7 linked regions of the Callithrix jacchus genome follow. The protein of the gene in region 1 purifies or fractionates together with the protein of each later gene. This does not show direct contact. Links are inferred from orthologs where the notes say so. Each region holds a gene or a part of one and is shown on either strand. Other genes may lie near its edges.

Evidence for each region.
Region 2: the proteins of HSP90AB1 (region 1) and EGLN1 purify together in Homo sapiens (affinity purification with western blotting; 4 studies listed by BioGRID, with this or other methods). This does not show direct contact. The link is inferred for Callithrix jacchus from reciprocal best matches to the Homo sapiens genes HSP90AB1 and EGLN1.
Region 3: the proteins of HSP90AB1 (region 1) and CDC37 purify together in Homo sapiens (co-immunoprecipitation; 12 studies listed by BioGRID and IntAct, with this or other methods). This does not show direct contact. The link is inferred for Callithrix jacchus from reciprocal best matches to the Homo sapiens genes HSP90AB1 and CDC37.
Region 4: the proteins of HSP90AB1 (region 1) and CTNNB1 purify together in Homo sapiens (affinity purification with mass spectrometry; 3 studies listed by BioGRID, with this or other methods). This does not show direct contact. The link is inferred for Callithrix jacchus from reciprocal best matches to the Homo sapiens genes HSP90AB1 and CTNNB1.
Region 5: the proteins of HSP90AB1 (region 1) and CCDC117 purify together in Homo sapiens (affinity purification with mass spectrometry; 3 studies listed by BioGRID and IntAct, counting the BioPlex papers as one, with this or other methods). This does not show direct contact. The link is inferred for Callithrix jacchus from reciprocal best matches to the Homo sapiens genes HSP90AB1 and CCDC117.
Region 6: the proteins of HSP90AB1 (region 1) and PRKCE purify together in Homo sapiens (co-immunoprecipitation; 3 studies listed by BioGRID and IntAct, with this or other methods). This does not show direct contact. The link is inferred for Callithrix jacchus from reciprocal best matches to the Homo sapiens genes HSP90AB1 and PRKCE.
Region 7: the proteins of HSP90AB1 (region 1) and AHSA1 purify together in Homo sapiens (affinity purification with mass spectrometry; 6 studies listed by BioGRID and IntAct, with this or other methods). This does not show direct contact. The link is inferred for Callithrix jacchus from reciprocal best matches to the Homo sapiens genes HSP90AB1 and AHSA1.

What each region holds. Positions count from the first base shown.
Region 1 is NC_133505.1:52,710,455-52,714,718, reverse strand, and holds the start of HSP90AB1 (heat shock protein HSP 90-beta), read right to left. Parts: upstream 2,801-4,264; 5' UTR 2,665-2,800; intron 2,181-2,664; exon of another isoform or gene 2,074-2,180; intron 1,779-2,073; exon of another isoform or gene 1,605-1,778; intron 649-1,604; coding exon 502-648; intron 1-501. UniProt on the Homo sapiens protein: Molecular chaperone that promotes the maturation, structural maintenance and proper regulation of specific target proteins involved for instance in cell cycle control and signal transduction. Undergoes a functional cycle linked to its ATPase activity.
Region 2 is NC_133520.1:53,463,416-53,467,397, reverse strand, and holds the start of EGLN1 (egl nine homolog 1), read right to left. Parts: upstream 2,801-3,982; 5' UTR 2,390-2,800; coding exon 1,499-2,389; intron 1-1,498. UniProt on the Homo sapiens protein: Cellular oxygen sensor that catalyzes, under normoxic conditions, the post-translational formation of 4-hydroxyproline in hypoxia-inducible factor (HIF) alpha proteins.
Region 3 is NC_133523.1:9,592,556-9,596,848, reverse strand, and holds the start of CDC37 (hsp90 co-chaperone Cdc37), read left to right. Parts: upstream 1-1,493; 5' UTR 1,494-1,558; coding exon 1,559-1,660; intron 1,661-4,293. UniProt on the Homo sapiens protein: Co-chaperone that binds to numerous kinases and promotes their interaction with the Hsp90 complex, resulting in stabilization and promotion of their activity. Inhibits HSP90AA1 ATPase activity.
Region 4 is NC_133518.1:79,019,669-79,023,168, forward strand, and holds part of CTNNB1 (catenin beta-1), read left to right. Parts: intron 1-1,536; 5' UTR 1,537-1,584; coding exon 1,585-1,597; intron 1,598-1,704; exon of another isoform or gene 1,705-1,836; intron 1,837-2,040; coding exon 2,041-2,268; intron 2,269-2,472; coding exon 2,473-2,726; intron 2,727-2,852; coding exon 2,853-3,091; intron 3,092-3,179; coding exon 3,180-3,381; intron 3,382-3,500. UniProt on the Homo sapiens protein: Key downstream component of the canonical Wnt signaling pathway.
Region 5 is NC_133502.1:199,472,479-199,474,968, forward strand, and holds part of CCDC117 (coiled-coil domain-containing protein 117), read left to right. Parts: intron 1-1,305; coding exon 1,306-1,543; 3' UTR 1,544-2,490. UniProt on the Homo sapiens protein: Facilitates DNA repair, cell cycle progression, and cell proliferation through its interaction with CIAO2B.
Region 6 is NC_133515.1:69,123,868-69,127,935, reverse strand, and holds the start of PRKCE (protein kinase C epsilon type), read left to right. Parts: upstream 1-1,268; 5' UTR 1,269-2,237; coding exon 2,238-2,585; intron 2,586-4,068.
Region 7 is NC_133509.1:112,425,565-112,429,064, forward strand, and holds part of AHSA1 (activator of 90 kDa heat shock protein ATPase homolog 1), read left to right. Parts: intron 1-117; coding exon 118-206; intron 207-1,058; coding exon 1,059-1,187; intron 1,188-3,500. UniProt on the Homo sapiens protein: Acts as a co-chaperone of HSP90AA1. Activates the ATPase activity of HSP90AA1 leading to increase in its chaperone activity.

The sequences.
Region 1 (4,264 bases):
CTGCCTCCTGGGTTTGGGTTCAAGTGAATCTCCTGCCTCAGCCTCCCAAGTAGCTGGGATTACAGGTACTCGTCACCATGCCCAGCTAATTTGTTGTTGTTCTATTTTTAGTAAAGACAGGGTTTCACCATGTTGGCCAAGCTGGTCTTGAACTCCAGGCTAGTCATGATCCACCTCCCAAAGTAGTGGGATTACAGGCATGAACCACTGCGCCCACTTTTGTTTTGTTAAAGCCCTTATCTTCAAAGAAAATCTTGGTGTATTTCTGTCAGCCTCAATCTGATTGCCCCTTATGTTGAGGCATTAGAACCATAGTTACACCAACCCACTTATCCTGGACATAGTCCCTTCCAACTTCAAAATGGCCACAAAGTAAGACAAATCTTTTTGGAATAGTTGCAGGTTTACCTCTTCAACAGTAGTCCCCAACAAAGGCCAAACTACCCCTCTCCTTCTTCCAGAATGTTAAAATATATGAAATGTGAAAACCAGAGCACTTACATCAGAAGCATTAGAAATCAACTCCCGAAGGAAAATCTCCTTGTTGGAATAGAAGGTATTGATGATGAGAGACATGAGTTGGGCAATTTCTGCCTGAAAGGCAAAAGTCTCCACCTCCTCCTCTCCATGGTGCACTTCCTCAGGCATCTAAAATAAAAATAGTAATTAATTACAAAAGAATATGAAGGCCCCATATTTAGAAATCCTAATGGTTGCCTGTCATTGGAACCTTAAAACGTGAGTTGAGTGGTGGTTTAAGCTGAGTACTATTATCCCTTCCCAAGAGACGAAAAAAGCATTCTCTTTAAAGCTCTCAGGCTACACACTAAGTGGGAAGCCAAATCAAAAGGAAAAAGAAAATAAGCTACAATGTTCTTCAACCAAATGTCACAGAACCCAGTTACTTAAAGAATGGTGGCCAACAGGCTCAGCGTCACCTGGTAGTATGGCAGAAACTCATAATCCTGGTCCAACCCAGGTATCTAGGGATCCCTGGTAATCCTTGCGCAAATTTAAATGTGAAAATCACTAGCTACGGTTCTTTATATTTGGGGGAGGTCAAAGTAACCAGTAGTTTAAGATTAAAATGGCACTAACGTTAAACCGGTCCCCCTGAGGTGTCTTCCTAAAATCAGCCTAAGGTGCAGGACTTCTGCCCCACACGGCAAAGAGGAATAATCAGATCCGTAGGCCACCAGCCCGAGGAGCAATTAAATCCAGACAAAAAAATCGAAAAACCAAAAGCTCAACCACGACCCCTTTACAGCACAGAATTACAGTACAGGACCAAACCCAACACAGGAAAGATGGTGGCCGTAGCCACCGGGCCGACTCTCGTCACTGTTGAACATGCATCGGCAGGGGCCACGCGAGGAGGGGACGCCACCATGTACCCTCCCTTCTCCCCAGCATCCGGGCACCGGGGCGGGGCGCCAGAATCCAGAAGCTTCCAGAACAATCTCAGCTCTCGAGGAGGGGCGGAGGAGGGAGCCCAAGAATCTTCCAGACCCTGCCCTCTCCCCACCCCTCCTCCACGGGGACTGCAAGAAAGATCTGGAAGGAGGAAATATGGGAGCTGGAGGCCGAAAACGCTTCTCCCTCACCGTGAGCCCTCACAGAAACAAAGCACCCAAGGCTTTCGACGCGGCCGTAAAGAGAGATGGTGAGGCCAGTCCCGCAGGGCCGTGCTGAGTCACCCCATGCGAGCACCCCCGCCACCCTGCGGTCCCCCTCCGGCGCCCTGTAGCCGCCTCCGGAAGTGGAGAAGCAAGAATGGCAGCGTCCTGGGCCGCGCGGCCACCACGTGCAGCTGCCCTCCGCCCACTCCCCCAACCCCTCAGCCCACCTCGCCACGGCTAGCAGCCGCCGAGAAAAAAGCCCACCGCCCAAGCACACAAGAGAAAACGGAGCAAAACTCAAGAGCCCTCACCTACTACCACCCTCACCCTGTAAAAATCCAGGGCGTTATCCACAGCCCACCCCGACATCTGGGCTTCCTAAAAACAGAAAAAGAAAACAGCAAAACGAAAGAGCAGTGAAGGAAAAGAAACCTGGCAGAGACTTCGGCCTTACCTTCAAAAGAAAAGGCTCACAGGTATTAGAAAGCAAGGTGGGCTGGCTGTCCAACACACACACACACACACACAGACAAGAGCAGCGCCGGAGCGACTCAAGAGAGCTATTTCACGCCCCAGGTCGCCCTATATAAGGCGAAGCACAGCACAGCCCCCCTCCCCCGGATCCCTCCGCCTTAAAGGAGTACCCTTGTCAACTCCGCACCTGCCACCACCAGCCCACCTTGACGTCATGGTCCGAAATAAGGGAGGGGGCAGAGAAGAACCCAAGCAGCGGGTCCACTCACACGTTTGCTTGTGACCACAGCCCCCATGTCTGCACGTCTAGGACATGACCCGCTCAAGAGCGGGGATGAGGAGTGCTCATTTGACAAAGCAGTGTCTCTACGAACGAGGACCCACTATCCTCCCTAAAAACCTGTGGGGCAGGCGTCCCCACACCCAAGGGCGGGGCTGGGGGAGGGGGACACCTAAAAAAAGCGGAGGTGGCTAACCACACCGACCGCCGCTCCCAGACGCAATCTTCTTCCTAGAATCTGCCCCACACATTTCGCATCCCGGTAGAAAGAATTGGAATTCGGGACCCAACCTTGGGCAGCCACAGATCCGACTCTCCCAGGCGCACAGGAAGGGCGGAGGCTTAGCTACGGTGGGTAGATCAGCGTTGAGAGAGGGCGCCGGCCGGGGCTGGTGGGGACTTTTTGCCGGCACGCGGCGGAAGACGCGGCGGCGGTGGCGGCACTGCGGCCTTTCCAGCAGTTTCCAGGTCTGTCTCGGCGGTCCGGCCCCCGCCCGCCCCCTCCCCGCGAGGCTCCGCCTCTCCGGCTGCTGCCCGGCGGGAGCAGAGTCTTTACGGCGACTCTGCCCGGCCTCCGGCTCTGACCGTCCGACCTACTAGCCCAATCCTCGGGGATGGGATGGAGCGTTAGGAAGGGATCGACCTACCCCTCCTTCCCCCAGTCAATCACACAACACCCGGGCACCTGGGGCGCCTCTGCGGGCGTCCACTTATGCAGACTGAGACTGGAAACAGAGTCGCTACTGGAGGGACCCCCTCCATTCCCTGCGGCCGCCACGTACACGGAGCACAGGAACATGCACCCTCCCTACGCAGGCACGTCAAGCCTTTTCCCAAGCTGTTTTGCTTTTTTTCCGCCCACTTCCCTCTTGCAGCTATTTGGACATGGGAAGGTGAGGAGTCTCCAGGAACCACTGCAGGGCAGTCAGAGCTCATGGAGGCCTCGTGACGACGCCGGCCAGAGAGCGGCTGGACAAGTTGTTCCCCTTTAGCCTTGGCGTCAGAGCGGGTAGGCCATGCCCCTGGCCAGTGAGCTGCAGACCGCCATGTCTGGCCTGGTTCAGCCCTTTTGCCTGCCTTCCAGTTGGCAAGCTGCCTTGCCTTTCCAAGGTCTCATCCGAAATCCTGCTGGACCCACAGCCCCTCCAGGAGAGAATAACCACTCCCGTGCCTTGTAGACGTCCTTCTACTCCCCTTCCTGGCCCACCCCTGGGATGCCTGGGAAGGGTTTTCCCCACGACCACCCACATCGTCCTCCCTCACCAGCCCTGTTACCCATCTACATTCCTTAACAAGCTTTGAATACCAAAAAACAAAGGCAGTCCCATGCTTTCCTCTTCATTGTCCCCGTCCACTGTCCACCTCAACGTGCCCGCCATCACTACCCCGATTTTATGTCCTTTCTCCCTTCCTTTATGGTCTGCAAAAAGCCAATGGCTGGGAGAAGTCTATAGGAAGGAGCGTTGGAGGCTCTGTTCCTGACCAAAACCGCAAACCCGAGGGAGTGTGATCCTTTAACATGCCCTCTCCTTCTAAGCAGTGGGGCCTAGCTCATTAAAAATCTGCTCCCCAGTTTACAGAGCATTCACAAAATCTCACTGTCCTGTGAGCAGATGAAAGTCAGTGTGCACTTTCTATCAACAGGAAAATGGCTTCAGTGACTCCCAGGGTCCCTCTTCTCAGAGCCCTTGCTGCACTAGCTCCCTTCCTGCTCTACAAATGGAGCAGGGATGTGATCTCACTCCTAGGACCTAAATCCAAAGCAGGAATCACTCCTGTGGGATGGGCTTCCCGAGCTGGATCCTTTCAGTGTCAAGACTCAGCAGCTTCCTGAAGACTTTCTAAATTGGAAAATCTCAAATCTTACACCAGCATATAAATTCCACTTTCT
Region 2 (3,982 bases), on another chromosome or scaffold:
ATATACTTTGGTCAGTCTTCACAGCCCTGTTCCCTCAAACTAATTTCTTTCCTGCTCTGAGCTCAGGACTTATGTTCAGATGTGTTCCATGACAACGTTCATTTTTAAAAGTATCAATGAAAAGCTAGTAAAAGACCAAGGCTGAGATTTCATCAGATCCCCCTTTTCCTTCCAGTTTAATATGATTCAACTGTTCGTAAGACTACATGAAATTAAGATGTGTGCCTTCACCCAGCAATGAAGTGGCAATACGTAAATGAGACTCCACATTGTATTTTTCCCCACAAAATTTTCATGTTTATAATTTTTCTCATTGCCTATGTTCAGCCTTCCGAGCAGCCTGAGAATCACATGTAATGACTGTCAAAACAGATGGTCTCACACACACTCCAAAAAAACCACTGGGAAGAGTCAGCATGTGTGTACAAACATGTAAGTGTGATGCTCTCCCAAGTCCATCTCTCAAAACTCACAAAATCAGACAGAGACTGATGGTGGAGGAGGGAGGCCTGGGAGTAGCTGGATATAAAGAAAAGATCAAGATCTGAGAAGCAAAATGAATAAGACCTGCAAGAGAGTATTAAGGAAGAAAGAGTGCACCGTGAGGGAGAAAAAGAGAAAATAGACTAGGTAGGAAGTGAAGAAATCTGTGGAGAAAAAAACGCAACAGTAAAGAGAAAACAAAAAGATCTCACCAAATTGGGAGGATAAAACAAGTCCTCCTGCTCCAATTTCGTGTTGTTTTTTCCAGGAAGCTACAAAACAGTTCTTTTTCAACAGAAGGATAACATTAACAAAGCAAATAAAGGAAACCAATGCTAAAAATGTAGCCTACCTACACAGAGAGATCCGAAAACGGAAATACTTCTTTTCCCTTTTTGTAATGGGTTTCAAAACAGTAGGAACAGGGAGAGGGTAGGAGCTATAAGAGGGGGAGGGGAGTAGCCACGCTCTTCCTGAATATGGAGAGTCTTTCGACTAAACGCTTAAATTTACCTTTTTGTGGTCAGCCGGCAAATTCTTAACTGAACACAGCGTTTGACTCTCAATCAAAATGTGACGAGTGATTCAGACAGCACAGGAAATTTAAGTGCTTATGCAAACACAAGACAGATGCAGCATCAGGACTTGCTTTGGGTGGTACTCTAACACCCCCTCACTGGGTGGCTAAAACGCCACTAAGGAATGAATTGTGACTAACAGTGGAATGGAAGAAAAGAAGAAAGTAGCAAAGTTAAAGCGCCTACGTTTAGCCAGAAAACTATGCAATTAGCCGGAGAAGTCTGTGGACTGGCAGTAAGTGGAAAACAGCGGACACAAAGCGGCTAACCAGATCAAACAGTTACCCCGAATTCTGTCCGTCTTCCTTACGGGGTGCTATACACAAAGTCCTTTCTATACAGAGGAAGGCTGCTCCTCAGCCTAGGCAGTTACCGTCACGAGAGGGGCTGCCCGCCGAGAAGGGCATGTCCAGCGCAAACCCGCAGCCCACACTTACTTTCGTCCGGCCATTGATTTTGTAGCTGCCCAGCTTCCCGTTACAGTGGCGGATCAGGTCGTCCATGCTGCTCATGAGCAGCCCAATGGTTTCGCAGCCGGGCTCCTTGCCCTCGATCCAGGTGATCTTATCGCCTCGGATGTCCTTGGACGAATCACTCTTCTGGCTGACTAGCTGCCCGTCCGTGAACTTCCCGGTGTCGTGCAGGGCGCGCACCTCGTCGCCGATCTGCTGTCCGGTCTCCTTGCCGAGGAAGTCGTCCACCACACAGATGCCGTGCTTGTTCATGCAGGGCACGATGTACTCGAGCGCCAGTTTCAGCGCCGGCAGGGGCTTCGTCTGCCCGTTGGGCCGCAGGCCGCCGCTGTGGCTCAGCGCATCCCCGGGCGTGTTGCTCGGGGGGTACAGGTTCGCCTTCTCCTGGAACAGCGACGAGCGGGCCGGCTGCTCCTCCTTCCCGGGCTCGGCCTCCGCTGCCACCGCCGAGGCCTGGCCGCCGGGGGCCGCGCGAGACGGGGACGCGGCCGCCGCGGGGTCGGCCGCGGGCTTGGCCTTTGCCTTTGCCTTGGCCGCGTCCCCGGAGGCGCTGTCCCGGCGCGCCGCTGCCTTCCTGGCCTCCCGGGCCCCGGACCTGGGCGGCGGCGCTGCAGCCGGCGGCGCGGGGCCGGAGTGCTGGTGCGGGCCCACTCCGTGGCCGAGGGCGCCCTCGCTGCCCTGGCACACGAGCTTGTGCTTCTTCCAGTCCTGACGCTGGTGCTCCTTGCAGCAGTAGAAGGAGCTGCGGCAGCGGCTGCAGCGCAGCAGGTTCTCCATCTTCCCGCATAGCTCGCAGTACTGCCGGTCTCGCTCGCTCGGGCTCGGCCCGCCGGGTCCGCCGCTGTCATTGGCCATGGCGGCGGCGGCGGCAACGGCGGCGGCTGCGCCCGAGCAGGAGGGGTGGCGGCCGGACGGCCTCGCCCGAGGCTGGGGAGCGGGGAGAGAAATCGGGGCCGTTACTGCGCCATGCACCCGCTACCCTCGCCTCAGGGAGGCCGGCACCCCGCGCCCTCGGCCCGGCCGCTTCCGAGTCCTAGGCTCCGGCGCAGAGCCGGTGGCCGCCTTAGCGCCTCATCGCCGCCGTGGGCTGAGAAAACGTGGCCTGTGCGGCGAACGGCAACCTGGGCTCGGGCGCGCGGGCCTGGGGAGCGTAAGACCGGCCCCCTCGGCCGCCGTCGCCGCCTCAGCGTCCCGGGCGGCCCGGCCCAGGCTGTGGAGGAGCGCAGGGCATGCGGGCGCCACTCGCTCTGCGCGCTCTGCACGTACACCACGGCCCCGCGGCGACCCGGGCGGGCGGCGCGCGAGGGCGGAGGGGGCGGAGGGAGGGCCGGGGGGAGGGCCGAGGGGCGGGGGCCGCGCTCACACTTGGGCGCTGGCGCGGCGCCTGGGCCGCCTGCGCTCCTCCGCACTTGGCGGGGCCGGACCTCGGCCTCAGAGCCGGGTCGCCCGCCCTCCGTCCACCCGGGGCGGGGCCGGGACGCAGAGGCCGGTGAGCTGCCTCAGCCCGCAGCGGCCTGCGCGGGGACGCAGAGGGGCCGGCCCGCGAGCGGCGGAAAGGCGTGGGGCCGCGCGGGCAGCGCCTACACCTGCTAGGGGAGGGCGCCGGCCGCGAGCGGGTGGCGGAGCGGCGGCGGCGGCGGCGTAATCATGGCTGCTCTTCCTGCAGGCGGGCGCGAGTTGTGCGAGGCGCGCTCGGGTTAGGGTTACAAGGTGGCTACTGTGATCCTCATTTTGTAGAGGAGGAAACGGAAATTCAGAGAAGTAAAGTAACTTGCCCAAGGTCACGCAGAACTGACTGGGACTGAATCCAGCAATCAGGCGCTCAGATTCCAAGGCTGTTTTTTCCATTGCTCCATCCAGCCTCTATTTCAAGAAGCCGTGAAATGGTTAAGAACAAAAATAAGTATTACTGTGATGTTAATCCAATCTCTTGTGCCCCGTTTCAACCTAATTTAAAGGTTATGAAATTTGAGGGTTAAAATCAAAAACATTTTTAAAACCTTTGAAATCCCGCCGAGTTCGAACCCCCATGATTGGGCTACCAAGTCAAATGAGTGCTTATTCCAATATCCAATTTAAACTGATGGAATTATCCCTGAAAAGTTAATTTTGGTAGTAAGTGAGCAGTACTACTACATTAACGACTCTCACATTTATTTTTAATAGAATCTGTGCTACGCTGATGGATACAATTCTTTGTTTTATAGAGCATAAAAACCTTTCCATAAATAAGCCAAGGATGTTTCTGCTGTTATTTGTCTTAAGAATAAAAAGGCCTGTGACTTAGAGTTTAACAGTCTTTATCGAACACTTACTGTGGAAAATTCGGTGCTAGGCTTGTGTATCACTTGAATATACTGTAACTTCAGTCCTTGAGATATAGCCTTCCAAGCTTAAAGAAGCTGCAATATGTATTTCAAAAGCAGGATGTATGGAATTACTATAAAC
Region 3 (4,293 bases), on another chromosome or scaffold:
CAAGCTTACCTTGCGGGGGGGGGCTGGGGAGGGGATGCCCTGCCCTCTCCGGCCTGGGGGGCGGGAGGGGACGGGGGTGTCCAGACCCTTTGTTTGCTGGTGTGAGTGTGTATGTGTGTGTGCGATTGTGAGAGCCGCCGGGGTGTGGGTCCGTGCGCGCGCGTGCTCGGGCTGTGACGGCCTCTGATGTGCTGGACTGCCAGGGTGGAGAGTAAGAGGGAGGGGGAGGAGGGGGGACTCCCCCGCCGCTGCCCGCCCACTCGCGGGTTTGAATGAAGCGCGAGGAGGAGGGGCTGCGGCGGGAGGGCGTTTTTGTCCGATGGCCCCTCCCACTCAATGCACCGGGAAATCCCCCCACAACTGGAGACCTTCGCTCGCTCTCTCCAGGCCGCGCCTCCAACGTCTGCTCCAGGGGAGACTAGGAAGAGGCGCCCCTCACCCGGGTGGCTGGAGCTCCTCCTATCCAGCCTGCCCCACGACGGAGCACCCGTTAATCTGAGATAATCCTAGCCCGAGGCTGCAACACGGCCTGTTATCCCGGTATCAAAGCGTGGATTGGGTTGCATGAAAGTGTGAGGCTGGGGCCCGGCATGCTTAAAGTAATGGAGTCCTTAGAGCTCTGGCGGAGGAAGGGGACCCCCAGACGAACGGGGAGGGGCTACGCGTGGCCCTAGACTGTGACGACAAGGAAAGCCCCCTTCCACCCCTCCACGATCCCCCACCACCGAGCGCGGGGCCAGGAGTACGCGCTGCGGCCTAGACTCTAGCGACACCCAGCGGCCACGAGGGGAGGGGCGCCGAGATCCGCTGGGGGGGGTCTCCCGGAGATTTTGTGTGTGTGTGTGTGTGTGTGTGCGTGCGCGCGCGCGCGCGCGCGAGTCCTCGCTGCGAATGGCAGGAGCTGGAGGACGAGGAGAAGGCTGTTGTCCGAGGGGGGGAAACCCCAGCTTCCCAGGCGGGGCCACAATCTCCACTCCAGGTTTAACCCCGCAAGGGGAGGGCCATACTGCCCTCGATTTAGACACCCCCAGGGCAGGTCAGTCCTCCTCGAACTGAGACAGTCAGAGTCATCAAGCGCCCCTCTCAAGCGCAGGCTTAGGTCCCCGTTTACGAGGGGCGGGGGAGAGCCTTCCCCCTTGTCCCTACCCCTTGCAGACGTCACTGCGGCGTGGCTGAGGGGACAGTCCTCTCTGCCTCATCAACCGTCCTCTCGCTGCCGCCCCAAACGCCCACCGCGGGGCGTTGGGAGATGAGGAGGGCTTGGAGTTGTAGCGCCCACACGTATGCCCCCGCCCCGAGGAGGCCTAGCTGAGACCCAGCGCCCAAAGAGGTAGTCTCTGCGAGAACTCCTGGGGTCCGGAACACTTGCGCAGGGCCCTTTAAGGCAGGCTCGGTAGCCAGTGCCGCTGCCGCGGTTACTAAGGATGTGACGTCACGGGAGGGCGGGGTTGCCCGCAGTCGGGCGGAAGCGGAAGGGGCGGGGCTCGCTCGCCGAGTCTCCAGCTCTGCCGCCACCGCCACCACCCGAGCCGGAGCGGGGCTGGGCTGCCGAGGCAAGATGGTGGACTACAGCGTGTGGGACCACATTGAGGTGTCTGATGATGAAGACGAGACGCACCCCAACATCGACACGGCCAGCCTCTTCCGTTGGCGGCACCAGGTAAGGCGCGCTCGCCCATCCTTTTCCCCACTCCGGGGGAAGTTGTGATCCCCGATACTGCCCAGGGACCCCGCTGTTCACACCTAGGATTCTCACTCCCATAGTCTGGACTTTCAGAAGCCACGATTAAACTCCGGGACCCCAGTACCGCGGGGACTCTGAGTCCCTGCCCGGGATCTCCACCACCCCTCACCCCCACGCTCCAATTTTTTCGTGGGATTCCCTATTCACCCCGTAGAAGTTCTTCATAGTTTAGACTCCCCTAGAGCAGTCTTGGGGGGAATCTCCCTAATTCTGTCTGGGACCTAACGTTTACACCGAGAACTCTGCCTCGAGGTTTGGACCCCAAATTCTTCTGGATGATCCTGATCCTATTCGGGTATCCACTTACTATCTGGAATCTCCGATCGCCCCCTCCCCCACCTCTATAGTTTGGAACCCCAGTACTTTGGTCTGTCCTGGAATCTACTTTCTGGGATCTTGATCCCAGGTTCCCATTCAGATCCGGAGTCATCGCTCCTTTTCTAAACAGAACAAGGAACTCTGTGCTACCCTGATATTCTTGTTTCTGGCCTGGGACTCCTGCCCACACTCAGAACCCCCTTCCTAGAGTGTAGACCCTTGCCCCCTTAGGGTCTTTAGTCTCACCAAGGACTTGGGTTTTGGAACCTGGTTCCCGTCTGGATCTAACTACCAGCTCCACCCCGATGGAGCCTCACATTCCAGCCTCTCCTTTGGCCTCTGGTAGAGGCATTTCCCATTATACCAGGAAATCCTGCCCTCGTGGCTTCCGGTCCAGCCAGAGCCCCTGCCCCTACTTGGTATTGCCGACTCTGTCACCACCCACCTCCCAGACTGGCTTCCTGCATGAGCTTCAGCCAGTATTGGAAACTTTCCCCTAACTCAAGCCCAGGATCCCAAACCCACCCCACCTTATGTCCCCAGCCTGATGAGCTACTCTCTGATATCTAAATTGTCCCTGCTCTTATCCAGGGAGTCTCCTGGTCTGATTCTAAATTCACTAACCCTTCTTCTGTCTGTCTGCCCACAACAGAACCCCCAAATCCAGACTCCAGAATACCTGGGTGATCCATATTCTACCACCCCCTCAGTGCTCACAAGCCAATGAGGTGACTAAGACTTAAAGGTTTAACCTCTTGCTCCTCCAAATCAGAGCGCCTGCATCCACTTACCAGTGTCTGTTGTACTCTTTTTTTTTTTTTTTTGAGATGGTGTTTCTTGTCACCCAGGCCGGAGTGCAATGGCGCTGTCTTGGCTCACTGCATCCTCTGCCTCCCAGGTTCAAGTGATTCTCCTGCCTCGAGTCTCTTGAGTAGCTGGGATTACAGGCACGCGCCACCATGAGAGGCTTATTTTGTATTTTTAGTAGAGACGGGGTTTCTCTATGTTGATCAGGCGGATCTTGAACTCCCTACCTTAGGTGATCCACCCTCCCAAAGTACTGGGATTACAGGCATAAGCCACTGTGCCCAGCCATGTTGTACTCTTAAACTAGAGGCATATACCTCTCAGAACCTTCTAGTGAGGCTCTCTTACCCCGTCCTCCCATAGGCCAACTCCCCATCATTTATCCAGAAACAACCAGAAGGTCCCTTCTCCATCCTTCCAGAATACACCAGAATATGACATTAGTTTCTTCATCTGGCTCCCAGTCCCACCTCCAGACCTATTCCTTAAATCCTGAGTCTCCTGGGTAGTGTACCTGCCAAGCAAGCCACTGGAGTGTGGGAAGAAAGTTCTAGCGCTTCTATTTCTTGCTGTGTGTAACATTTTATTATGAAATATTTAAAACTTCTGCAAAGCTCCAAAGACTATTCTTGGGAAGACCTATTTCTGTCACATAAAGAGGTTAATCTTTACTACTGTGGAGAATGGTTTGGTCCTGCCGGGTGGGAGGGCCCCCTCCTGCAGCGTAGTATACCTGCCACACCCTCCTCCGTCTGGCACGGAGCTTTCCCTGTCCTGCCACTGAGAACCCAGTGGCCGTAGTGGTGCTTAAGGGAGGCAGGGGGCTTCAGTGTCTCCAGCATAGGTTCAAGGGCAGGCAAGCTTGGGTTCCAATCCCAGCCCTGCCCCTTGCTGCTTATTTCTTTGATGCGGCAAGACTCAAAAGAAACCCCTTTGAGGCCGTGTGAAACCTGGGATAATATGGCCCCACCTCTTGTGAGATCTTTCTTAAGAATGAATTAAGACTGGGTCAGGAAAACCTGGGGCAAGTCTGGAAGGAAGCATTGTGGAGGGGAAGGAGAGATTGTTGTGGTTCTGAGCACAGGCCTGACTAGGTTCAAATTTTGGCTCTGTCTGTATCACTCACGTGCTGATGACTGCCAGGGAATTGTTTGATCACTGTGCCTCAGTTTCCCCACCTGAGAATCTGAATGATGTCCACCTCCTCACAGGGTTGTTGTAAGGGTTCCCTTATTCATTTAATATCTGTAATACTTTTGCAGCAGTAGTTTCAATAATTATTGCTTATCATTAAAAAAAAATTCTGTAGTCCAATGTGGTGTTGCATGCCTATAGTCCCAGCTACTCAGGACGCTGAGGCAGAAGGATCACTGGAACCCAGAAGTTCAAGATCATCCTGAGCAACACAGCAAGGCCTTGTCTTT
Region 4 (3,500 bases), on another chromosome or scaffold:
CACACAATCCTGCTTAGCAAATTATCCTAAAATAGAAGATTCTCAAGGACCGAATCACCTTTACTATTTCCTGTCCTTCATTTCGCATCGTATGTAAATTGTCAGTTGTTTCCACCATGGACACTGAACAACTGTCTGCAACTCTTGTCAGCTGTAGATGTCAAATGATCCTGGTGATTGTAAAAATCGAGTAATGGAAGCACAGTGTTAGAAATAATAAACACATACTCTTTTACATAGAGAAAATAGGACACAGTAAGGAGCTTCCTTCTTCATTAAACATTGACACGTCGCATTCATTGAAAACAAAGTCTGGACGTAGTCGCTCACGCCTATAATCCTAGCACTTTGGTAGGCTGAGGCGGGCGGATCACCTGAGGTTAGGCATTTGAGACCAGCCTCACCAACGTGGGGAAATCACGTCTCTACTAAAAATACAAAAATGAGCAGGACGTGGTGGCGGGTACCTGCAGTCCCAGCTACTGGGGAGGCTGAAACAGGAGAATCACTTGAAGCTGGGAGGCAGAGGTTGCAGTGAGCCGAGGTTACACCACTGTACTCCAGCCTGGGGAACATACCAAAACTGTCTTCAGGAAAAAATAAAAGAAAAACACAGATCACACTTACATATTTTATTCCATATCTTTACATACCCAGTATGTTTGTAGTTCAAGATGAATTTGTTTGGGACAGATTCTGTAATAAAGGAAATTTTGTTATTAGAAATACCTAGAGGCCTGTAAGTCCTTAAACTGTTCTCATTTGCAAATAGTTTCCTGTGTGAGGCAGTGTTTTTTTCTGAATGTTGCATAATAAAGTAAAAATACATACATTAGATGTTAAGATTTATATATATGATATTAATCAAAATAATACCTATCCCTGTTGGTGGTAACTGTATTTATAATAAATCATTGCTGTAAATTTGAACTTAGAAAAATTTCACTCATAAAGGTGCTTTTGTATTGCAAACTTTCATTTGAAAATTAATTTTTCTTTGTACTAAAAATCTTAAAATTTACCAGTCATCAAAGTTTGCTTTACGAGAAATAATTTTTGATGGCACTATATCAGCAAAGAAAACAACTAACTTGTTAATGAAAATGTGGTGTTTTAAAAATCCCTTTGGACCTCTGTTATCCAAAGGGGGATCTGTGAATTTTTCCCTGAAAGGTTGCAAAAGGAGAGACCTTTAGGAATTCAGAGAGCAGCTGATTTTTGAATAGTTTTTTCCCCTTCCCTAGATTTTATTATTATCTCATCACCATCCTGAATATCTGTAACTTAAATTTCTGCTGTTAATAAAAAGACATGTTTGGTAAGGAGGAGTTTTCACTGAAGTTCAGCAGTGATGGAGCAGTGGTTGAGGTGTCTGGAGGAGACCTTGAGGTCTGCATTTCACTAAATAACCTGGTAAATGAGGACATGGGGTGTTTTTATGGGCGTAGTAATGACATTTAACCGGTATCCCAGTGAATTAGGAGTATCAATCAAACTAGATTTAAATCCTAATGACTTTTGATTAACTTTTTTTAGGGTATCTGAAGTATACCATACAACTGTTTTGAAAATCCAGCGTGGACAATGGCCACTCAAGGTTTGTGTCGTCAATCTTTCGTTACTGAATTGGGGCTCTGCTTCGTTGCCATTAAGCCAGTCTGGCTGAGATCCCCCTGCTTTCCTCTCTCCCTGCTTACTTGTCAGGCTACCTTTTGCTCCATTTTCTGCTCACTCCTCCTAATGGCTTGGTGAAATAGCAAACAAGCCACCAGCAGGAATCTAGTCTGGATGACTGCTTCTGGACCCTGGATACAGTACCATTCTTCCACTGATTCAGTGAGTAACTGTTAGGTGGTCCCCAAAGGGCTTAGGTATTTCATCACTGAGCTAACCCTGGCTGTCATTCTGCTTTTCTTGGCTGTTTTTCAGATTTGACTTTATTTCTAAAAATATTTCAATGGGTCATATCACAGATTCATTTTTTAAAAATTAAAGCAACAGTTCCAATGTACTAATGGCAATACTGTTTCATATTTATAGCTGATTTGATGGAGTTGGACATGGCCATGGAACCAGACAGAAAAGCAGCTGTTAGTCACTGGCAGCAACAGTCCTACCTGGACTCTGGAATCCATTCTGGCGCCACTACCACAGCTCCTTCTCTGAGTGGTAAAGGCAATCCTGAGGAAGAGGATGTGGATACCTCCCAAGTCCTATATGAGTGGGAACAGGGGTTTTCTCAGTCCTTCACTCAAGAACAAGTAGCTGGTACAGTATTATTTTTCATTACCTTACTGAAAGTCAGAATGCAGTTTTGAGAACTAAATAGTGAATTTAGTGTATCATAGTTTAAATAAAATGTTGTGGTGAAGAAAAGGGAGTACTTGCAATGTTGCTTTTACCATTTAGGATAGCAGATACTTAGATAAATGCTGAACTATGGATAGTGAGTGTTGATTTAACCTTTTCCAGATATTGATGGACAGTATGCAATGACTCGAGCTCAGAGGGTACGAGCCGCTATGTTCCCGGAGACACTAGATGAGGGCATGCAGATCCCATCTACACAGTTTGATGCTGCTCACCCCACCAATGTCCAGCGTTTGGCTGAACCGTCACAGATGCTGAAACATGCCGTTGTAAACTTGATCAACTATCAGGATGATGCAGAACTTGCCACACGCGCAATCCCCGAACTCACAAAACTGCTCAATGATGAGGACCAGGTGAGCAGTGACATGGCTACCTTTTTAGTCTGCTTCAAAGGAAATGCTCAAAAGGAGTAGTTTCAGAATGTCCACCCAATACCAGTACTGGAAAACTAACGATGTTTCTTAATTCCTTTATTATAGGTGGTGGTGAATAAGGCTGCAGTTATGGTCCATCAGCTTTCTAAAAAGGAAGCTTCCAGACACGCTATCATGCGTTCTCCTCAGATGGTGTCTGCTATTGTACGTACCATGCAGAATACAAATGATGTAGAAACAGCTCGTTGTACTGCTGGGACCTTGCATAACCTTTCCCATCATCGGGAGGGCTTGCTGGCCATCTTTAAATCTGGAGGCATTCCTGCCCTGGTGAAAATGCTTGGGTAAGAAAACATTGTCAGAATGCTTGAAGCTAAAAAGTAGAAGAGTATAGTCATAGTATTTCTCATGAGGCTTGTTTCTTCTTCCCAGTTCACCAGTGGATTCTGTGTTGTTTTATGCCATTACAACTCTCCACAACCTTTTGTTACACCAAGAAGGAGCCAAAATGGCAGTGCGTTTAGCTGGCGGGCTGCAGAAAATGGTTGCCTTGCTCAACAAAACAAATGTTAAATTCTTGGCTATTACGACAGACTGCCTTCAAATTTTAGCTTATGGCAACCAAGAAAGCAAGGTAAGAGAATTGTTCTTTATGTGGTTTTCATGGAGCATCAGGGACTGACAGTGTCATATCATTCCATGCAGTGTTCCTAACCTTTTTGGCATCAGACACCAGTTTCGTGGAAAACATTT
Region 5 (2,490 bases), on another chromosome or scaffold:
CCAGTTAATTTTTTTGTATTTTTAGTAGAGACCGGGTTTCACTGTGTTGACCAGGATGGTCTCGATCTCTTGACCTTGTGATCCACCCTCCTCGGCCTCCCAAAGTGCTGGGATTACAGGCTTGAGCCACTGTGCCCAGCTTGATCACAGAGGTTTTGCATTAGGTTCCTAGCTTGAGTTTATAATTAACTACCTAGCCCTAAGGGTGGATAGTTTAGTCAGAAGTAAGCTTGTCACGTTGCCCTCCAGCCTAAAACATAGCACTTTCTGCTCTTGGTAGTTTTCCAGAAGCTAGTCTTGGAGGGTGTTTCATTGTTTTAATGTTTCATTTTTGCTTTGTCAGACACCATCCCTGACACAGTGTGTCTGTAACATAGTCATTTTGCCTTAACCATGAAGTGTTTTTTTTTTTTTTTTTTTTTTTGAGGGAGGGTCTCATCCTGTTGCCCAGGCTGGGGTGCAGTGGCATGATCACAGCTCACCACAGCCTTGACCTCCTGGGCTCAGGTGATCTACCTCAGGCTCTGGAGTAGCTGGTACTGCAGGCATCTGCCACCACACCCAGCTAATTTTTGTATTTTTTGTAGAGCTAGGATTTGCCACATTGCCCAGGCTGTTTGCTAACTCCTGGGCTCAAACCATCTGCCTGCCTTGGCCTCCCAGAGTGCTAGGATTATAGGCGTGAGCCACCATGACCAGCCCATGAAGCATTATACTTTGTACCTGAACTAAGCAAAAAGCATCTGAAATACTTTTAAGTATGTTTGTCCAGTGTTTCCTTTCATGTATAATGATTTAGTGTAAGCTAGCTGCCTATATCAAATATTAACCACAATTTAAAAAAATTTCTAACAATCAAGGGCTCTATGTTGTCACATTGGATGTTTAAATACTTATAATCACAGCATCATTACAACCACACGATTTGGTTAAACATGCATGTTGAAATGTGCAATTTTATGTATTTGAGGGGCCTTCTAAAGGTCAATTGGAGCCAGGCAAGGTGGTGTTGTGCCTGTAGTCCTAATTACTGGGAAGGCTGAAGTGGGTAGATTGCTTGAGCCCAGGAGTTAAAGGCTGCAGTGAGCTATGATTGTGTCACTGTACCCCACCCTGGACAACACAGCAAGACCTCATCTCTTAAAAAAAAAAAAAAAAAGGAAAGAAAGTAAAGATCAGTTTGTATGTTCTGAATCTCCTGTTTTGATACAATCAGTCCCTAAGGTATTAGGTAATGTTTGCTTTTCAACATACAGTTTTCATGTCCTAAAATTTTTTGATAAAAATCTGTATTTTATGTCTTAGGAGCCGTCCTTCCATGGAGCTTGTTCTCTGGAAACCCCTCCCTGAACTCCTTTCTGATAAGCCAAAGCCATCCTCTAATGCTAAAAACTATACAGGAGAGAGCCAAGATAAACATGCAGCTGCTGGCACTGCCTTCCCTCAGAGAACTGAACTGTTTTTGGAACCTCGGCAAACAGGAATGTCTCTTTATGATAGTTTGGAGACAGCTACTAGCACAGAAGAAGAGATGGAACTCTAGAAGCCAATTTCTACACTAAAGTCAAATGTTAGAAGAATCCTGTGTTCAGTTATGAGCCTCTTTGCATAGTATAGGGACTTGAAAGTTTTATGAAACGGGTGTAATAATATCTCCACCTGTGATTTGGGGGTGGGATTATCATTTTGGGTAGCCATTTATTGAATTCAACTTCTTGCCAAGAAAGTTTGTCTCAAGGGAAAAGCAGTTTTCTGTGGGGCTCATTAGAGGAATGCTTGTTTACAGTCTCTTCAAAGGCAAGTATAGAAGCTGTATGTATAAGAGTCACTTAAATCATATGTCACATTGTCTAGACTATTCAGACACTTGGAGAATATTCTCCTTGAATTAAAAAAGATGATAAAGAAGGATGCTCCTACTACAACTGTATCCACTCACAGCCTAGTTTGTAGATACAAGCTATTTACAGTGGTGACTATATATAATTGGGGAGAAGGAGGGAAGAGAGCAGTAGCTTAAATCTGTTGCTCAGAAATTTAATTTCTTAGCAAATTGTAATTTAGTTATCAATTCAATATAGCTCTGTTGATTAAATAGCAATAGTATTGTGGCTCTCCTCTTTGACTCTGAAAATGCAATGAAAATACACAAAAGTTTTTCCTTCAAGGCTTTTTTGCCTTGTGGCACTGTTGCTCCTTGGTTTCCCTTGCATAATAGATAAGCCCAGTTATTCAGTAACGTTTACAAATTAATTGACTTTGAATGATAGTTAAAAAGATTAAGAGGTAACCCAACTGCAAATTGCCTGTGGGGGAAGCATCCTTTGGTTCATCCTAAGAAAGTGCTTTGTCAGCTAAACCCAGCATTGATGACTTTAATAATTAAAAAAAAACATCCTTGTATTAGCAAGTTTGTTTTTTTTTTCCACCACAGCCTCCACCTCCCAGGTTCAAGCGATTCTCCTGCCTCAGCCTCCCAAGTAGCTGGGA
Region 6 (4,068 bases), on another chromosome or scaffold:
ATCCACTGAGGAAAAAGTGATTGGGAGGCGGGTTTTAAATTTTGGTTTACACAAACCAGACCCGCCAGATGAACACTCAGCTTACCACAATACCTACAAATTCCCAGACTTGACTTGGCAGACGGGCGAGGGCGGAGGTTTTCTTTCCCCACTTGCATAAGTCCCAGCTCCCGGCTGCAGAACCGACCTCTTCCCCGCGCCGTCTTCGCGGGGACCGCAGCTGGGCCACGCCCCGGGGCCCCGCGCTCCCGGCCCTGCCCTCCCTGGTTCCCAGTCCCCGGCGCGGGGCAGTCCCTCGCCGACCGCCGGCCCCGTCCCGGCTCCCCGCCGAGGAAATTCTTCCCCAGCAGCCCAGGGCTCGCCTCACGTGACCAGCCGCGGCGGCGGCTTCCAGCGAGAGTTTAAAGGTTACGGAGGAAATTAGCATGGACGCAGCCGCTGGCCCCCCGGAGGGCGCGCCCCATTTCCCCGCAGTCCGGACGGCAGCTGGCAGCACGCTGATCGGAGCCGAAGTCCCACAAAGGGGCACCGATAAGGTCCAACGTAAATAGGAACAGTCACTTTGCAAAAAATAAACAGACCACAAACCAAGCCGGGGCTCTACCGAGCTTTCACTTGTCAACAAGTTCTCACAGCCTCCGAAGTCCAGGACAGATCCCAAAGGGGAGAATGCCCCGCCAAAGAAAGGCAAGAGAAAAGAATCGAGTTTAAAACCTCACCCGAGCCAGGCTCGTCCCTCCCTCCCCCCTTCCCCCACCGCCGCGTATCACAGCGTCCCGGGACTGAGTGACAGACCGGCCAGAACTCCGCAGGCAGCTTCTGCCCGCAGCCACCCGAGTTGGGGTGGGCAGGGGGAGGGTCCCGGGGCCTTTGGGGCAACTCGGCCCCTTCCACTCCCCCATCCCAAGCTCTAAAAGACTGAGTTGGCCGCAGGGTTCCCGATAGATGCGCAGCCCGGGGCCTCCCGGTCGGGACCAAAGGAGTCCCATCCACGGCCCGCGCCACGGGCACCCAGCCCAGCGCCGCCGCTCCCCTGGGTCCCGCGCGGGATCCCCGCCCGGCTACCCCGCCCGCCGCCGCGACCCGGGCAGCCTCGCCCGCTCTCCGCCGTTCTCTCCTTGGCTCACTTTTTCCGTATTGCTCCCCCAACCGGCAAAACTTTCTATTTCCCCAAACACTGCCGTGCGCGCGCGCGCGTGCACACATACACACTCACACACACACTCACACACACTGACGTCTTTTGCGCATTTCCTGCATTAGAGGGAGGGAGACTCGCTCGCACACCGACGGAGGGAGAGGAGACCGCGGGGGAGCGCGGGCTGGCGGGCGGCGAGCGAGCGGCAGCCGAGAGCGGGGACGCGGGGAGCGCGGCGGGCGGGCGCCGGCGCCCAGGAGGTGGGGCCGAGCCGAGTCGCAGTCCCGGCCCCGCCGCCGCGCTGCGCACCGCCCGGTGCCGGCCTGCGCCCCGAGCCGGATCGGCGGCCGCCCGGACTCCCGAGCCCGCGCGGATGTGAGATTCTGGGCTCCTGGCGCCTCCCGATCGCCGGCTTCGGCGCGGCGCTGCTTCGCCCAGGAGGAGGCGGCCCCGGCTGGCCGTAGGGCTTGTGGATTTTTAAAAATTTGGCTCCGAGGAGGACCATTTCCTCTCGACATGCATCCCTCCGGATAGACTGAACATCCCTCGGTCCACCCCCCGCCCCGTGCGGTCAGAGGCAGGCGCTGGGTGTGCGAAGAGGATCCGGGTTGAAATCTGCGCCCCCGGTTCTCGTCCCCGCCCCGTCCCACCGCCCCATCCCCCTCCCGGAGTCGAAATTTCCCGGGATTATGTTTCGGAAAGGTAGGTGAGCGCCGGGCGCGGCGCCCGCTTTCCCGCAGCCCGGAGCCGGAGAGCCAGCGAGGCGGCGAGGCAGCCCCCGCGGCTTGCAGCGGAGCCGACAGCTCGTCTTCTCTTCTGGAGGTGCAGCTGGTGGTCGGGGGGAGAGACTTGCTCCAAGCACGGACGTCCCCCAGCTCTCCCCCCTCCCTGTTTTCCGTTAGGAATCCGGCGAGGAAATACATGCACTGGCTGAGAATCGCCCGCGCCAGGGCGCAACGCCACAAGGTGTAGGGAGTGTGTGGGGTGGGGCGAAAGGGGACCCAAGAGTCCCCGTAGCTTGGAGCGCCGGGCCGTCGGTTCTTCATTCCTGCCCTCAGGGCAGACGGAGTGACCCCGGCCCCCACTCCCCGCCCCGACCATGGTAGTGTTCAATGGCCTTCTTAAGATCAAAATCTGCGAGGCCGTGAGCTTGAAGCCCACAGCCTGGTCGCTGCGCCATGCGGTGGGACCCCGGCCACAGACTTTTCTTCTCGACCCCTACATTGCCCTCAATGTGGACGACTCGCGCATCGGCCAAACGGCCACCAAGCAGAAGACCAACAGCCCGGCCTGGCACGACGAGTTCGTCACTGATGTGTGCAACGGGCGCAAGATCGAGCTGGCTGTCTTTCACGATGCCCCCATCGGCTACGACGACTTCGTGGCCAACTGCACCATCCAGTTTGAGGAGCTGCTGCAGAACGGGAGCCGCCACTTCGAGGACTGGGTGAGTCTGGGGCCTCCCCGTCGGTCCGGGAACCCGGTTGTGGGGTCCCGGGGAAAGATTCACTGGCCTTGATCGTAGGGCTCCGGGACTCAGTGACGACTGGGGGGTGTGTATGCCTGCAGGTCTCAGTTTCCTTGGGGAGGTACACTTCACTTCGTAGTTGGGGAGAAACAGGCATTGACGAGGAAGATGAGACTTGGAAAGAGGATGTGGCCCTCTGCCCCCTCTGTGCCCTCCAGATGGTGGTGCTGCGGGAGGTTTCCAAACTGGGAGAGCCTGGGCTGCTGGTGCTGAAGGTTGGCCGAGGACCCGGCTTTCTTCCGCAGGCGCGTGGTGGGCTGGCTGTGTGTGATTGTGTGTGGGTGGGTCCCTCCGTCCTTGGAAAGGCACGTGGAGCCTTTGACTGAAGGCTTGTTGCACGTCCTGGCTTTGTCCTGCTTAGCCGAGTGAGGAGTTGCTTTATTTTTTCCTCCCGGAGGAAGCCGGTGTGTTTGTATTCTTCTGCATGGCGGTTAGCTCATCTTCTGACATACAAGTAGAAAAAAAGTGTCCTCCTCCAGGATGTCCCCTCTATGGTTCCAGAAACATAAGCCGAGCTTGTTTTGTCCAATTCATTGCCCCATCCATGCAGAATGAATGTTGCATTTGAAGAAAGGTTCTGCTTGTGGGTAATTGCAAGACAGTGCTTTGAATTTTATTTAAAGTTATATTATTTCTCTGTTTTGATTGTCAAGCTACTGTGCAATAAAAGACGATTTCTGAGTCTGAGATTGAGTAAATTGTTAATTAATTTCATTGTTAAACTATTAAGGATTTGGAAATAGGCCTTGTCTCAATGTACTATAAACCAAATGCATCCGATCTTGGAACTTGGACAAGCAGATCTTAGTTTTTTTTTTCTCTTCTTGGAAGAATGGTGTTAATTTAGGACATGGATTTCTGTGTTTTCAGGTTTGTGACATGTTCCCACCAAGAGCAAGTGCAAGTGTTCCTCTGGATATATATGTTTTCAGGGTTCTTTGGTTTACACAAAAAGTGAGACATTTCTCTAAGCCTCAAAAGTGGCATAGAGCAATTGCTTTTTATTGAAAACCAGATAACTTCATGGATCTCCTAGAGGTCAGAAGTTGCACGTGAATCACTTTGGCATATCACCTTACATATTTTTTTCAAGGACACAGAGTTTTAGGGAGAAATAGGAGAGAGCCTTTTGTTTTTATGCTCATGGCTGTGATGTAGTCTGCCTGAAACCATGGTTACAGTCTCACAGGGAAGCTCCAACAAGCCACATGCGTAGAACTCTAGATTTGTGGTTTGCACTTTGGAAAGCAGGCAAACCTTTATGGAATCCCAAAGAACTCCATGGCATTCCATTCTACTTCACAGATGTCCCTCATCTCTGCTTCCCTCAGCCCCCACAGCAGAGCTCCCACTCGTTCCCCATTTCCTTTCCATGCATGGCCTTTGGGCCCTTTCCTCAGGG
Region 7 (3,500 bases), on another chromosome or scaffold:
CTTTTCCTTTTCTGGTCATAACCTCAATCTGTGATAGGATGGCTGTGTTTGTCAAGCTGTAATGAAATCTCAGCTACTAAGAAATAACTTCCATGAGCTGGGATTTTATCTTTTCAGAGTTTACCCAGGGCATGATCTTACCTACAATGAATGGAGAGTCAGTAGACCCACTGGGGCAGCCAGCACTGAAAACTGAGGAGCGCAAGGTAAATGGTTTTCCCTGGGATGGGAGACTGTCTGCAAAGGAACTTGAGAGATTGCCTCCTCCTTCATTCCACATACCAGCTCTGTGTCCCTAACCTCGAAGCCAGAGCAGCCTATGATCTGCTCATGGTGCTTTTTTAGAGTGCCTGTAATATGTATTCGTTTACCCATCTTTAACCTGGTTTTAATTCATTTATTGCAGACCCCTAGAGCAAGTAGAAGCTCTCAGACAATTAAAAGTCAGACTCTTGATTACATTTAGCACCAAATTAGGAGGTTATGAACAAAGGATGGTCTTCACCTATATAGGTCTTCAGTATTATTTCTAATTGGAGTGTTGATATTTTATACTTTGATATTAGAGGTCCCATCAAGAAATGAAGTTACATCCTGTCTTCACCCCATCTCCCCCATTTGCAGGATGAGGAAGTACTTTATCTAGAGATGGAACTTTATGGTTCAGGCTCAGCACTTGGTTTAGAGCCCTCTTGCTCTTTTGCCAGCATAGTGAAGTAGATATCCTGGAAGTGGGGAGAAAACTGCTTCCAGCTATTTAAGCATTGAAACTGAGAATTACACTGATCTCTTCAAAAATATCTCAATGATTTGATTTGTTCTTTGGCTGTCAGGGTCTTCCTTGTAGAGTGGTTATTTTTACTGGGAATTGAGGATGTTTCCAGAAACATGACCCTCATGACTGAAACACACACTCAAATTCCCTTTAACCCCTTGGAATAATTAGCCTTGGAAGGGAAAAATTTTGTGAGAATGAATGATATGACTGTCTCTGAAGCCACGTTGATTGAGGTTGTATCATTAGTCTGTACTGATCATTTTCACTATGACTTTCACAGGCTAAGCCTGCTCCTTCAAAAACCCAGGCCAGACCTGTTGGAGTCAAAATCCCCACTTGTAAGATCACTCTTAGGGAAACCTTCCTGACGTCACCAGAGGAGCTCTATAGAGTGTTTACCACCCAAGAGGTAAGTAAGTCTTATGCTTCATGCCTCATGCCATCTGCCCTTCTAGGTGACTTGAGGTAGGGGCCTATCCCCTCAGCAGTGTGCAGAAGAGGTACTCACAACTGGAGCCATGAGGCCTTCATCAAAGTGGATTTTCCTTCCCTCTCTAATTTTTTTTTTTTTTTTTTGAGATGGAGTCTCGCTCCGTCACCTGCCTAGGCTGGAGTGCAGTGGCATGATCTTGGCTCACTGCATCCTCTGCTTCCTGGGTTCAAGTGATTCTCCTGCCTCGGCCTCCTGAATAGCTGATACTATAGGCACCTGCCACCACGTCCAGCTAATTTTTTTATTTTTTAGTACAGATGGGGTTTCACCATGTTGGCCAGGCTGGTCTCAAACTTCTGACCTCAAGTAATCTGCCCGCCTCAGCCTCCCAAAGTGCTGTGATTATAGGTACGAGCCACTGTACCCAGCCATATTTATTTATTTTAAAAACAAAAGACCTGGTCTTGCTATGTTGCCCAGGCTAGCCTTGAACTCTTGGGCTTAGGTGATCCTCCTTCCTCAGCCTCCTGAATAGCTGGGACTACAGGTGCACACTACCATGCCTGTTCTAGTTCTGAGTCATATAAGTCGGGAGACTGAGTGAATCTTACTAGGAAAGCGAATGCCCATTCCTGGTTATGCTGTAGCACAGAATTCCTGGCTTCTTTCTGTTGCACAGCTGACTTGTGCCATTCTGTTGCTACAGTGTGGAGTTGAGAAACATGACTGTATTCAGCTTTATTATCTGATAGCAAAAGCGGGTGGGATATGTGGAATTTCCCACATACTCTGGGACAAAATTTCAAGATCTTGTTTTTTAAATAAAAACGTAAATACAGTCATAAATTAAGAGGTACCATGTAGTATATTGGTGTTAATATGTCTGTGTGCCTGCACCCAAAATACTCTCGTGATAATTCTGTCCCCCTTAGAAAAGCAAGAACTGGAGAAGCAATGAAATGGACTGGGTTTTCTAGAAATTTGAAAAGATGTATATAAACAATATTATACTGTACTTTAGAAAGTTACCTTCGTTGACTCCAGAGATGTGTTATGACCTGGCTGTGCTGACGATTGCCTCTGATGGCTCACTTGGTTCTGTTCCTCTGTGTGCCTGCTGCCTTGAAGGACTTAGGAGCACAACTGTAGTCTTCATTTGAATTGAATTTAGCTAACATAGACTGCAGTTGAATCTCTGCTTCCAACCTAGCTAAAGTTTTCAGTTTTACAATACTTTTGTATGGGAGGATTACTGACATGTTTAACCATGTATTCTTTTGTACCGTGTATTTGTATTACCTACTTTAAAAAAATAGATTTTTTAAAGGTAAAAGTGGCACTACTGGGTAATCTAACATAGCAAAATGATACTGATTCAATATATATGGAGTAGGCCAGGCACAGTGGCTCCCACCTCTAATCCCAGAACTTTGGGAGGCTGAGGCAGTTGAATTACTTGGGCCCAGGAGTTTGTGACCAGCCTGGCCAACATAGTGAAGCCATGTCTCTACAAAAAAATACAAAAATTAACTGGCTGTGCTGGTATACACCTGTAGTCCCAGCTCCTCGGGAGCCTGAGGTGGGAGAATCGCCGAAGCCAAGTGGTTGGGGCTACAGTGAGCCATGGTCATGCCACTGCACTTCAGTCTGGGCAACAGAGCAAGACCCATCTCAAAAAAAAAAATAAAGATATATGGAATAGTTTTACTTTGGGACATGTTCTCAGAAATGGTAATTGAAGTCTCGAACATTTATTTGAGAATTTTCTTTCATAAACTCATTCTCATATCTACTATTTCAAATAAATAAAAGTAAAGTAGGCCGGGCACAGTGGCTCACACCTGTAATCCCAGCATTCTGGGAGGCCAAGGCGGGGGATCATGAGGTCAGGAGTTTGAGACCAGCCTGGTCAACATGGTGAAACCCCGTCTCTACTAAAAATACAAAAAATTAGCCGGGCGTGGTGGTGGGTGCCTGTAATTCCAGCTACTTAGGAGGCTGAGGCAGCAGAATTGCTTGAACCCAGGAGGTGGAGGTTGCAGTGAGCTGAGATCATGCCATTGCACTGCAGCCCAGGCAATAGTGTGAGACTTTGTCTCAAAAAAAAAGAAAGAAAAGTAAATGGGTACAAAGTAATGGCATCATTGAATCAGAAAGAATTCCTGAAGTCAAGTCCTGATTGGTAGAAAAACAGAATAGAGGGAAAGAGTTAAGGCATGCACCCTTCAGCTGGCATTTGTCCCTGGGTCCCACTGAAAGGCATGTATCTTCTGCCTCTTTTTTTTTTTT